2 linked regions of the Ovis aries genome follow. The protein of the gene in region 1 purifies or fractionates together with the protein of each later gene. This does not show direct contact. Links are inferred from orthologs where the notes say so. Each region holds a gene or a part of one and is shown in the gene's direction. Other genes may lie near its edges.

What was found.
Region 2: the proteins of RMND5A (region 1) and MAEA purify together in Homo sapiens (affinity purification with mass spectrometry; 5 studies listed by BioGRID and IntAct, counting the BioPlex papers as one, with this or other methods). This does not show direct contact. The link is inferred for Ovis aries from reciprocal best matches to the Homo sapiens genes RMND5A and MAEA.

The regions. Positions count from the first base shown.
Region 1 is NC_056056.1:58,559,034-58,564,336, forward strand, and holds the start of RMND5A (E3 ubiquitin-protein transferase RMND5A), read left to right. Parts: upstream 1-1,798; 5' UTR 1,799-2,292; coding exon 2,293-2,434; intron 2,435-5,303.
Region 2 is NC_056059.1:117,810,421-117,815,692, reverse strand, and holds the start of MAEA (E3 ubiquitin-protein transferase MAEA), read left to right. Parts: upstream 1-1,704; 5' UTR 1,705-1,724; coding exon 1,725-1,793; intron 1,794-5,272.

The DNA.
Region 1 (5,303 bases):
GGGAACTGACATCAATAGTAACAACCACCACCACCATTCATCATGTGGTTATCATGTGCTGCTTTCGGGGTGTTTTCATAAGTTACCTCACTTAACTTTCCTAACAATGGAGTTCAGTATTATTAATCCTAATTACTTCCGAATTATAAAAAAAGGAAATTGAGGCTCAATGAGATTTTACCTAAATTTAAAAAGTATACCATGTATAGCATACTATGTCTCCAGGCAGTGTTTCCTGCACAGAAAACACAGGCAAGGGGGCTGCCTTATTGGAAATCTATAGAAAAGCAAACGAATAAAACTAGGAAAAGGTCTTTTTTGTTTCATTACCCATTCTTTACTTGAGAACCAATGGGATATAAATTATTCCCCATCAGCACTAAAAATAAAAGCATGCTGTGAGAGTGTTTTCCCTTCTACAACTGGAACAATTCCGGGAATCGGTTAGTTGCTTGTCTGAGTTAATAGTTTCCAACTCTTAAAGAGTTTAATTTTCAGATTAAAGAAATCATTGTCACCTAATCTGCGGAATAACATTTTAAGTTGTTAAAATGATAATATACTAAATAAAAGTGAAAAAGAATAAGCCATTGAATACGAATAAAGGCTCACCTATGTAAAAAAAAATTGAATCAGATCATTTCAGATTTTAATAATGGTGTGCAAAGAATAAAACTGATGATACAATTGGTATAATAAATGACATAGCAATGGAGGAGGGAGTGCGGTCTTGGGAGGACCCTCAGTGGGACAAGGGAGCTCATTTTAGGACGAGAAGGTAGAGAGTTTTCCAGGTCAAAGAAAATGCAAGTACAGAGGCCCCGAGGCAAGCAGCAGCGTGGCTCCTCCTCAGCTGCAACTCAAGGCGCAAGTAGGTTTAGGCCAAGGTTGGAGGCACCATCGTCAAGTCAGGGAAGGATTTACGCAAAAGGGTAATTCCAACCTACTGAATGGAATAAGGCGCCGCAGAGGCGGGGGCCAGACTGCCCCAATCTCCGACTAGAGTTTCCTGTCCGCGAAGCTGCCCGTCTTACACGCGGGGTGAAGCAACCGGTCAGGAGAGGCTCCAGGCCCAGGGGCCAAAGGGCCAAGGCCTGCGGGGGTGGTGTGTGTGTGTGTGTGTGTGTGTATGTGTGTGTGTGTGAGGCGTGTGACCTCCTAGTGTCGCCAGAGTCGAGGGAGCACCGTAGGCTACGCCCGGCCACCCCCTTCTGCAGCCCCACAACCACCCCCGCCTTTCATGCTTGTTAGAGACCCTAGCCCGTAGCACCTCCCACCCCGTCCGGCCCAGCTGGATTTCCGCCCCCCCCCTCCCCGGGCGGCGAATCCGTTTTCCAAAACTTCGGAACGACCGTACCCCCTTGAGTGATAGGGAGAGGAAATAATACAAGGCTAGGGCGAAGTCCTACAGGAAATAGACCTCTTTATTTCTGCCTTGTTTTTCCTTATGGTTTCCCCAAAACGCCTAGCTTCCCGAGATGCTCTTCAAGTCACCCCCTCCAACAACGAGTCTATTGGTTTGGCCCTTAGTCCCGGATTGGCTTAAGGGTTACGCCTCGGCCTGGGATTGGAGAACGTTGGGTCCTTACGTGTTCCCGGCGCCCATTGGCTCGTTTTCCCCGTTTCTGGGCGGAGTCGCTAGGGCCGGTTTCCACCCACTTGTTTACGGAGCGCGTAGTTGTAGCGCTCTCGGAGCTCTGGGGCTGTCTCTAAAGTTCCCAATTTAGCTCTTTGGACCAATTGGGCGCTGGCTCCCCCCTCTCCCGCTCCCTCGCACGCCTCCCGCGTGGTACGGCCCACACCTTTAGAGCGGCGGCGCGAGCGGCTGTGTTCCTCCGCCCGCGCTCGCCTGGTTGACCCCCCTCGACGGTGCGCTTGGTACGACCCGCGCCGCCTCCTTCTCTAGCTGGGGTGGTTGCCCCCCTCGGGTCGGCGGCGCTTGGTGCCGCCCGGGAGAACCAGGTCATCGGTCGGTTCCCTTGAAAACAAAAACAATCGGCGGCGCCGCGGCGGGCAGCCGAACGCGGCGAGCGGGGAAGCCGGGGCGCGGGGCCGAGTCTGACCAACTAGCGAGAGCAGCGGCTACGCGCCGGGGCCGGGGCGCCATGGGGCAGGCGGGCGCGGGCTTCGCGAGGCTCCCCTGGCGTCGGGGCTAGCGCCTCCGCCGCCTCGGCCTCTCGCGCCGCCCGCCTGGGGGACGAGGAGCAGGACGCGGCCTCGGCCGGGCCCGGGCCGAACGGCTGCGGACACTCGGGAGCCGAGGAGCAAAACACCGCCACCGCCGCCTCCGGGATGGATCAGTGCGTGACGGTGGAGCGCGAGCTGGAGAAGGTGCTGCACAAGTTCTCGGGCTATGGGCAACTGTGCGAGCGCGGCCTGGAGGAGCTCATCGACTACACGGGTGGCCTCAAGCACGAGATCCTGCAGAGCCACGGTAAGGCGGCCCGGATGGTCGCGTGGGACCGGGCCCACCCACCCCGACCCCTCGGGCCCAGGCGGGCCAGGAGGGTGCCTCCGAGAGGCCAAACCCGGCCTTCCCCGGGGCGCTGAGATCCCCAGGCCCCTGTGACTTTTCCTTCTCTTCTCCCCCCGATCTGTCTTGAACCTACCCCGACCTTGTTGTTAATTAAAAGAGAGCGGGAATCCATCCGGAAGCCAATTCTGGAGCCACGGGTTCCATCCAGGGTTAAACCCGGGCGCGGGGCCGGCTCGTCGCACCTGCAGATTTCCTCCCTCGCGGGGTGGGCGTCCCTAGTTAATTGCCTTGGGCCGGAGGATCCGGGCGAAGAGAGGGTCAGTGCAGAGAGCCCCACCCCTCCTCCTCCTCCTCGCCCCAAACATTTAGCCAGGGACTGACTTTGCTCGTCTTTCTTCATTTTTTTTTTAAAATTAGAAACTCGCATGTTATTCTTAGCTGTGGGTTAACAAAACAGCCGCTGCTTCACCTCCATAATTTGACTCTCTGTAGAAGAAGCCTTTCTTTCAACTCCGCAGCGGCACTAATGTGATTCCTAAGAAACTAGCTAAATCAAACTTAAGCTCTCCCAGATGCATTCTGCGATGAGACGGGAGGCAGCCTCCCCAGAAACACCTTGTGGAGCAAGTTGTTAGTTACATGCGTTACCTGGTCAAGTTTTTACTTGTTTTCCTTTCAGAAAGCAGGTTTTCAATGGAAGGTGTTTCTTCTCTATTATTATAGCCCTAGGCCCTGGGGGAAGATACTTGGCTGCAGTTAACTTGTGGAAGCTGGGTGGGATTCTTTGGGTTTGGGTTCTTTAAATAACATGAAAAGTCTGGTATTCTTTAGGTTAAAATGTCTGTAGTGATGATTCTTTCTGAGCAAGAAGTAATGGACTTCATGGAATGGATTTGTTGAGTTTGGGGCCCTGCTCAACTCAGAGGTTGAACAGAAATCTTTGATAAGGAAGGTTTGGTAGCTGGGGTCACATGTGGACACTGGAGCAAGTGTGGTTGAGGACAGTGGCACTGGCTGAACTTCTCTCCACCTCTGTTCCTTCCTGTACACTTTCCTTTCCCAGGCTGTTTTCAGTTGAGAGTTAGTGCTCATCCATGGTGCCTGTGTGCGTGGCTCAGTCCTGTCTGACTGCGTCTCCATGGACTGTAGCCCACCAGACTCCTTTGTCCATGCAGTTTTCCAGGCAAGAGTAATGGAGTTGGTTACCATTTCCTCCTCTAGGGAATCTTTCCGACCTAGGGATCGAACTCACGTCTCCTGCACTGGAAGGTGGATTCTTTACCACTGAACCACCTAGGAAGCCCCATCCATGGTGAAAGAGTCTTATAACAGCATCTCATCCTGGACATGGCAGTCACTTGTGAACTCCGAGAAAGAAGGAAACCCAGTGACCACAGTGGGGTTAGGACTTGAAGTATGAATATGGAAAAATGACCAGACCTAGACGGCTGCCTGCAAGGGGGAAGTAGATGTGGGGTAGGATGGGTCTCCTGGGAATGCTCTGGTGAACTTGGTTTGGGACAAGTGAGAAACTGACGGACTAATGAAGATAGTCAAGGGCATCATGCTTCCTAGTCAAGGGCATCATGTTTCCTATTGGCTGAAGATGCATAGATGGAGTGTGGGAGCAAAGAAAGGTTTAAGATGGTGTCCTGGTGTCCTTCTACAAAGGAGAGTGAAGATCATTACATTACACAGAGGAAAGACAGTAGGGTCTAACCACAGCCTTGAACTCCCCTTGAAGAGTGGAGGTCCTGGAGGTGCCAACAGAAACAGAACGGGCAGGCTTAGAGAGGTTGGTCAGCTGGTGTTTGGCTATTGGGAGTCATAGCCTCTTTGCAAGCAGTTTCATAGAATTGTTAAACTAGATCACTAGGAGTTAAGAAAAATAATAGATTGAGGTGAGAGAGGCTGCTTAAGTAAGGGAGCTGAAGGTGTGCCCCTTCCGCCCCTCATCTGGAGAGGCAATCTTTTTGTATCGTTAAAGACTGAAAAGGGACTTCCCAGGTGGTGCTAGTGGCTTCTGCCTGCCAATGCAGAAGACAGAAGAGCTGCAAGTTAGATCCCCGAGCCAGGAAGATCCCCTGGAGGAGGCTATGGCAACCCACTCCAGTATTCTTGACTGGAGAATCCAAGGAGCTTGGTGGGCTACAGTCCGTAGGGTCCCAAGGGTTGGGCCTGCTTCACATGCAAAGACTGAAAAAGGTAGGAGTAGGTGAAGGGTGTAGACTTGGAGAGGTGGAAGGAAGGATTTCATTTTTAAGGAACAGGTTGAATATTGAGGGCTTGTAGAGTTTGAGAGAGAGAGAAGACAGAAACTATTTAAAAATCCCTTTATTCCATGAGAGAGAAGATAGAAGCTATTTAAAAATCCCTTTCTTCCATGAGAGAGAGAGAGAATATTAATTGAAGGTGAATGATTTGAGTATCGTTTTAGGGGATTTGGGGCCCATCCCAGATGGATAAAATAATTTTGAGAACTTGCTGAAGCAGAAATGTGTTTTAGACCTCTTTCCTTGGGACTTTTCGAGGAACTTACGGTCAGAGGGATATTAGTCACAGAGTTTGCTGTGTTGTTCAAACAGTCTGATGTGAATTGTGGCGTTCTGCCTATTTTTTACCTTCCTATCTAACAAATTGCAGTTTTATATTGATAATCTCTTTGATTTTCTTTAATTCTTTAAGAATAGGATTAAGAGACTAAGGAATTCTCCAGGCAAGAATACTGGAGTGCATTGCCATACCCCTCTCCAGAGGATCTTCTCAACCCAGGGATCGAACCCTGGTCTCCTGCATTGCAGGCAGATTCTTTACTGTCTGAGCCACC
Region 2 (5,272 bases), on another chromosome or scaffold:
GTGGGAAGACCCTGATTCTTGATCAGTGATGCTTTCAAGGAAAGATGTTGATCAAAAGGGGAAAATGTGGAATTCATTAAGGAATAGTCAGCTAGCCTTTGGAGTTAAGGCAGGCCGGTAGGAGGCGCTCTCATACCCTCCTCGCGTGTCAATTTCCCTGACTGGAAGAGACTTCTACCTGCTTTCTGGCAGGAAGAAGAAAACTTCCCTCTGCCCCTGCCCCCAGCAGCCCAGCTAATTTGGAAGGTTCTGTGCTTCGCCCCTCCAGTGGACTCTGGCTCTCAGAGCCCCACCCAGATTTTTTCCCTAGAAAACGAGCTCCCGGGGCTTGTGCTCCGGATTTGCCTGTGGTGGGCCCCTCTCTGTGCGTTCTGAACTCTGGTCCCTCCACGGTGTTGGTCATAGCTAATCTGGCGCTTGAAGTGGTCTGTCTTTGTGGCTAGTGGTGTTGAGGGTCTTTTCATTTGTTCTTCAGCTGTTCGTGTGCCTTCTTTGGTGAAATGTGTTGCCCACGTAAAAAATTAAGATATTATTAAATTACAGATCTTTTTATTCAGCTGGTAAAGAATCTGCCTGCAATGCGGGAGACCTGGATTCGATCCCTGGGTGGGAAGATCCCCTGGAGAAGGGAAAGGCTACCCACTCCAGTATTCTGGCCTAGAGAATTCCATACACAGTCCATGGGGTCGCAAAGAGGCGGACACGACTGAGCGGCTTTCACTTAATTTCTCGTTTCCTGGTGAAAAAAACTGGCTGTCATCCTATTACAGCTGACAGAGGCTTCGTTAGTTAGCCTTTAGCTGCGAAGACTCTGAAAGCCCTGATGTATTTACTCAGGCTGACGTGTGTGCGTGCGTGCGTGCGTGTGCGTGTGTGGCGAGGCTGGTGAAGATGTCTGTAGAGGGTCCAGACGGCGTGCCCCCCGCAACAGTGGATTTCTTGTGCCGCCTCAGGTGCATGGGTTTTTAACGCTAATGTTTCTTTAAAAAAATCATTTAAAAAGAGTGTGAAATTTGGCTTAATGTGAAAGTCTTCTAACTAGTGAAACCTAATTTAATTTCTATTTTTGCAAGGACTAAAAGGGGCTAAGTATATGGAGCGGTTTGAAAGGCAACTTGAGTCGGTGTGGGAGCCAGGGACGCCGGAGGCTCTGCCCGCACCGGGCCTTTGTACACTGCGGCGGCCTCTTTCCTTGCCGAGTTCAGAACCGCCACCTCCCCTCCCCAGCGCGGGTGCCTGGGCCGCCGCTGTGGGCTGCAGCCGCGCCCCTCTGCGGAGAGCAGCCCACGGACAGGCGCTGGGAGCCTGCAGACGTCCTGGCACAGCGGGCTCACTAGCTGGAGGCCGGCCCGCGGGAGCCCAGTGACCGCCACGGCCGCGCTGCTCGCGGGAGCGCGCTCCCCCACCCCGCGGGAGCCCCCGACCGCCAGCGCCGGGCGCAGGGCCGCCGGCAACCCGGGAGCTCCGCGCACAGAGCCGCCGGCCCCACCCCGCCTCAGGTTCAAGGAGGGACCCCGCCCAGCCGGGCTTCCCGTTGATTGGCTGGAGGGGAGAAGGGCGGGCGGGGATTGGGTGGGCCGGTGGCCGCGCCTTCTTCCTCGGCCGCCGAGCGGCGAGCGGAGGCGCTGGGCGCGGGCGCCGGCCCGCCGCGCCCCTCGACGTCACTACCCGGCGTGCCGCGCGCCGCGCCTCCCCGCCGCCCCTGATGTTTTGGCCGAGCCAAGATGGCGGTGCAGGAGTCCGCCGCTCAGCTCTCCATGACCCTGAAGGTGCAGGAGTACCCGACCCTCAAGGTGGGGTCTGTGGCCGCGGTGCGCCCGCGCCTGCCAGGGGCGGCGGGCGGGGCGGCGAGCGGGCGCGGCGGTGGGGGGCGGGCCCGAGGCCGGGGCGCGGCCTGGGGCGCCGGGCGGGGGCCGAGGGCCTGCGGCCGGGCTCCCCGGGGCCTGGGGCCTGGGTGCCTGCGCTCTGCGGCCGGGCTCCCCGGGGTCTGCGGCCGGGCTCCCCGGGGTCTGCGGCCGGGCTCCCCGGGGCCTGCGGCCGGGCTCCCCGGGGCCTGGGGCCTGGGTGCCTGCGCTCTGCGGCCGGGCTCCCCGGGGCCTGGGGCCTGGGTGCCTGCGCTCTGCGGCCGGGGACCTGCGGGCCGGGCGGGCGCGGCGTGTGGCCGTCTCTGCCGCCGCGACTGGGCAGGGAGCGCGTCTCCCTGGCGCCCCACTTCGCCCTCTGGAGCCCTTCGTCCTCGAAAGAACGCGAGCCGCAGCAGGGACCGTTCTGGCCGTGGCCAGGCTGGTTGCTTTGGAGGCGGGGATCTCGGGGCTGTGGGGTCGGGGGCACCCAGCGAGAGAAAGACCGGTAGCCGGCGGTTGCGTCCAGCTTTCGTCCCGGAAGCTTCTGTCAGACGGTGCTGACGGATGGCTTCCAGCCTCTCATTAGGGACCTGTGCAGAGAGGCCTCACCACCGCGGGGCGTCACCAAACCTGAAATACAGCTCTTGCCGCTTGGCCGACAGTTGCGTGACCTTGGATGGCCGCTTAGCCAAGTCGACGTAGACTGCAGTGGAACCGCCTTTCCTGGGAGAGGGGCCCCCAAGTAGTTCTTACCTAGTTAGTAGAGGATTCAACGCTGACTGGCTGCAGTGAAACAGCTGGGAGTAAATTCCTTCAAGGATCAAGGTTGTAACGTTCCCAGGAGAGCTGCAGCTGAGCCTGTGGAAGTCTGAGTTCTTTCCCTGGGAGTCAAGTAGCGTCTCTGCTCCTGGAGGGCCCAGCTTCCCTGTCCACCAAAATGGTGACAGGTGGTGGGTGCATTGTGGCAAGATTGCCATGAGCTCTGGTCGATTCTCAGGAGACCTCTGGAGGGTCCTGAACCCTTGGAGATTGTTTGCTCTGCTCAGGGTGCAGTGCGGGCTCTGGCTTGGGAGGTAGCTGCCACACTCCTTACTCCTTGAGCCCTGAGGGGAAGGGAGGGAGGGAGGGAAGCCCTGTGCCGCTGACGTGAACCAGAGGCCTGTTTGCTGGACCCCCTTGTAGGGCGTGGTGTTTTTATACGCAACTCAGGCAAGACCCTGCATCTCAGAGGCCAGGGTTCTCTGCTGCCCCATGCACCCAACTAAGTGCCCCCACCAGCACCAAAAAAAGTATGAGTAGGGAGCTGTTAGCTGCTGACCCATTATCTCACTCAGACCCCATCAGGCCCGCCGTTCCACTGACAGACAAGGAGGCTGAGACGTGAGAAGTGGGAAACACCAGACTGGAAGGATGTCTCCTCCAGGTCCTCCTCTCTCAGTTCATAACCATGAACGCAGTTTGAGTTCCAAACCTGTTAAATAGACTTTGACTGAAGTAGTCACGCAGCCTTCCCAGGTGGCTCAGTGGAAAAGAATTCACCTACCAGTGCAGGCGGCCGGAGACGTGGGGTCGACCCCTGGGTCAGGAGGATCCCCTGGAGGAGGAAATGGCAACCCAGCTCCAGTGTTCTTGCCTGGAGAATCCCACGGACAGAGGAGTCGTTGGGGTCGCAGAGTCGGACACAGCCGAGCGCACAGGCGCAAAGGAGGCGTGCCGCCATTCTTAGGGGCAGAGAGATGTTCTAATGTCGTCTCAAGTGAGCCTGCCAGCTGAAAATGTTTCGCTGCTTTATTGGAGTGATTTTGGAAAGTAGAATTTTCACGAGGTGCTCTGTCCGTTTTTCCCGTACAGATTGTTTACATCCCGCAGGATAATCCCTCTCGTCTTGACACAGGTGTCGCTGCTGGTGAACCTTTCTCGGGACTAGTTCCCAGTGGGCGATGAGGAAGTTTCACTGGGAACGAGGGCTGCTCGGTTGGGAAGCAAAATTAGAGCACAGGAAAGCGATTGTCTCGGGAGCTCTGCTGGTCTCATCTGAGCGGGGTGCAGAGGTGCGGAGGGGGCCGAGGCCGGTGCTGGAAGGCCGAGCTCCAGCGCGAAGGCAGGTCCTCCCGCAGGCAGTGGGGACCAGTATGCCGCGGGCAAGCCTCCTTCAGAGAGGAGGCGGGTGGGGGGCGGCGGGGCGCGGCCGGGTTGAGGCTGCTGGCGCCTTCTGACCTGCCCTCCTCCCTGACCCCAGGCCTGGGGACCCTGGGGCGCGTGTCTGCAGTGGGGCTGCAGGAGGCCAAGCAGCAGCCCTGGCCTCCGCCCCGCCGGCTGACAGCCGCTGGCCTGGCCGCCCTGGCTGTGGGGGAGGCGTCCTCCCCGCAGTGGGCGCCGGGGGCGCGCCTGGGCCCTGGCCTGGCCGGCGAAGCTCCCTGGAGTGCTGTCCGTGTGGGCTCTGGCTCACGCCCCCCGGGCCTCAGGGAAGGAGGAGTGGAAACCTGTGAGCTGGAAACCCTGTTTTGTCTTTGGAAGTGTTTTCTGATTATGAAAGCAATTTGTGTTCATTCTCCAAGTTATTTTGCTGACTGCCCCATTCGGTTTTGGGGTTTTTACTTCTGTTTTTTCCTTTCAGATAACTGAAGGGAAATCGTATTTTATAGAGGCGCGTCTGTCACCCCGCGAATCAGCAGGGTCCGCTCAGCCAGGATTGGGGACGTGGTGTTGGTGATGGGAGACCGGCCCTGCACCTCACTCCTCCCGTGGGTCCCCCTGGGCCCACCCCCCGGGCACCCGGAACCTCGTCTGGGCGCCTCGGCCAGGGGTCGCCCGTGTCAGCACCCGCTCCCAGCACCCATTGCCCGGCACGTCGCCCCCACTCTATCTGGGGACAGTTCGGCTGTGTTTTAATTCTCCATAGAAGTATGTAAGTTTTCTACTTTTAGCTTGGCGACGGTTTTGTTGACCAAGTACTTATCTGCAATTTCGAATCCTGGCTTTGTACTTTGCGTTCCAAGTATATGCCTAAAGTTACAACTTGCAGTCCAGTTTTCCAAACTCGGTCTCAGCTGGACTTGGGGATCCGCGTGGTCTGAGGTTTGAGACGCGCCGGTGGCGCGAAGCACGGGGCCTTGGAGACGAGGGCATGGTGGCCGCGGGCTGGGTCCTCACCTCCTTTTTCTTTGCATGCGTGCCAAGTCGCTTCAGTCGTGTCCAGCTCTGTGCGATCCTGTGGACTGTGGCCTTCCAGGCTCCTGTGTCCGAGGGGCGCTCCAGAGAAGGGTACTGGGTGGGTCACTGTTCCCTCCTCCAGGAGGTCTTCCTGACCCCAGGGATCGTCTGTTAGATCTCCGGCATGAGCAGGCGGGTTCTTTACCACTCGCGCCAGCCGGGAGCTTTTTTCTTTAGGTTCTGTGATCAGAGAGTGACCGCCTCTCCGGCAGACA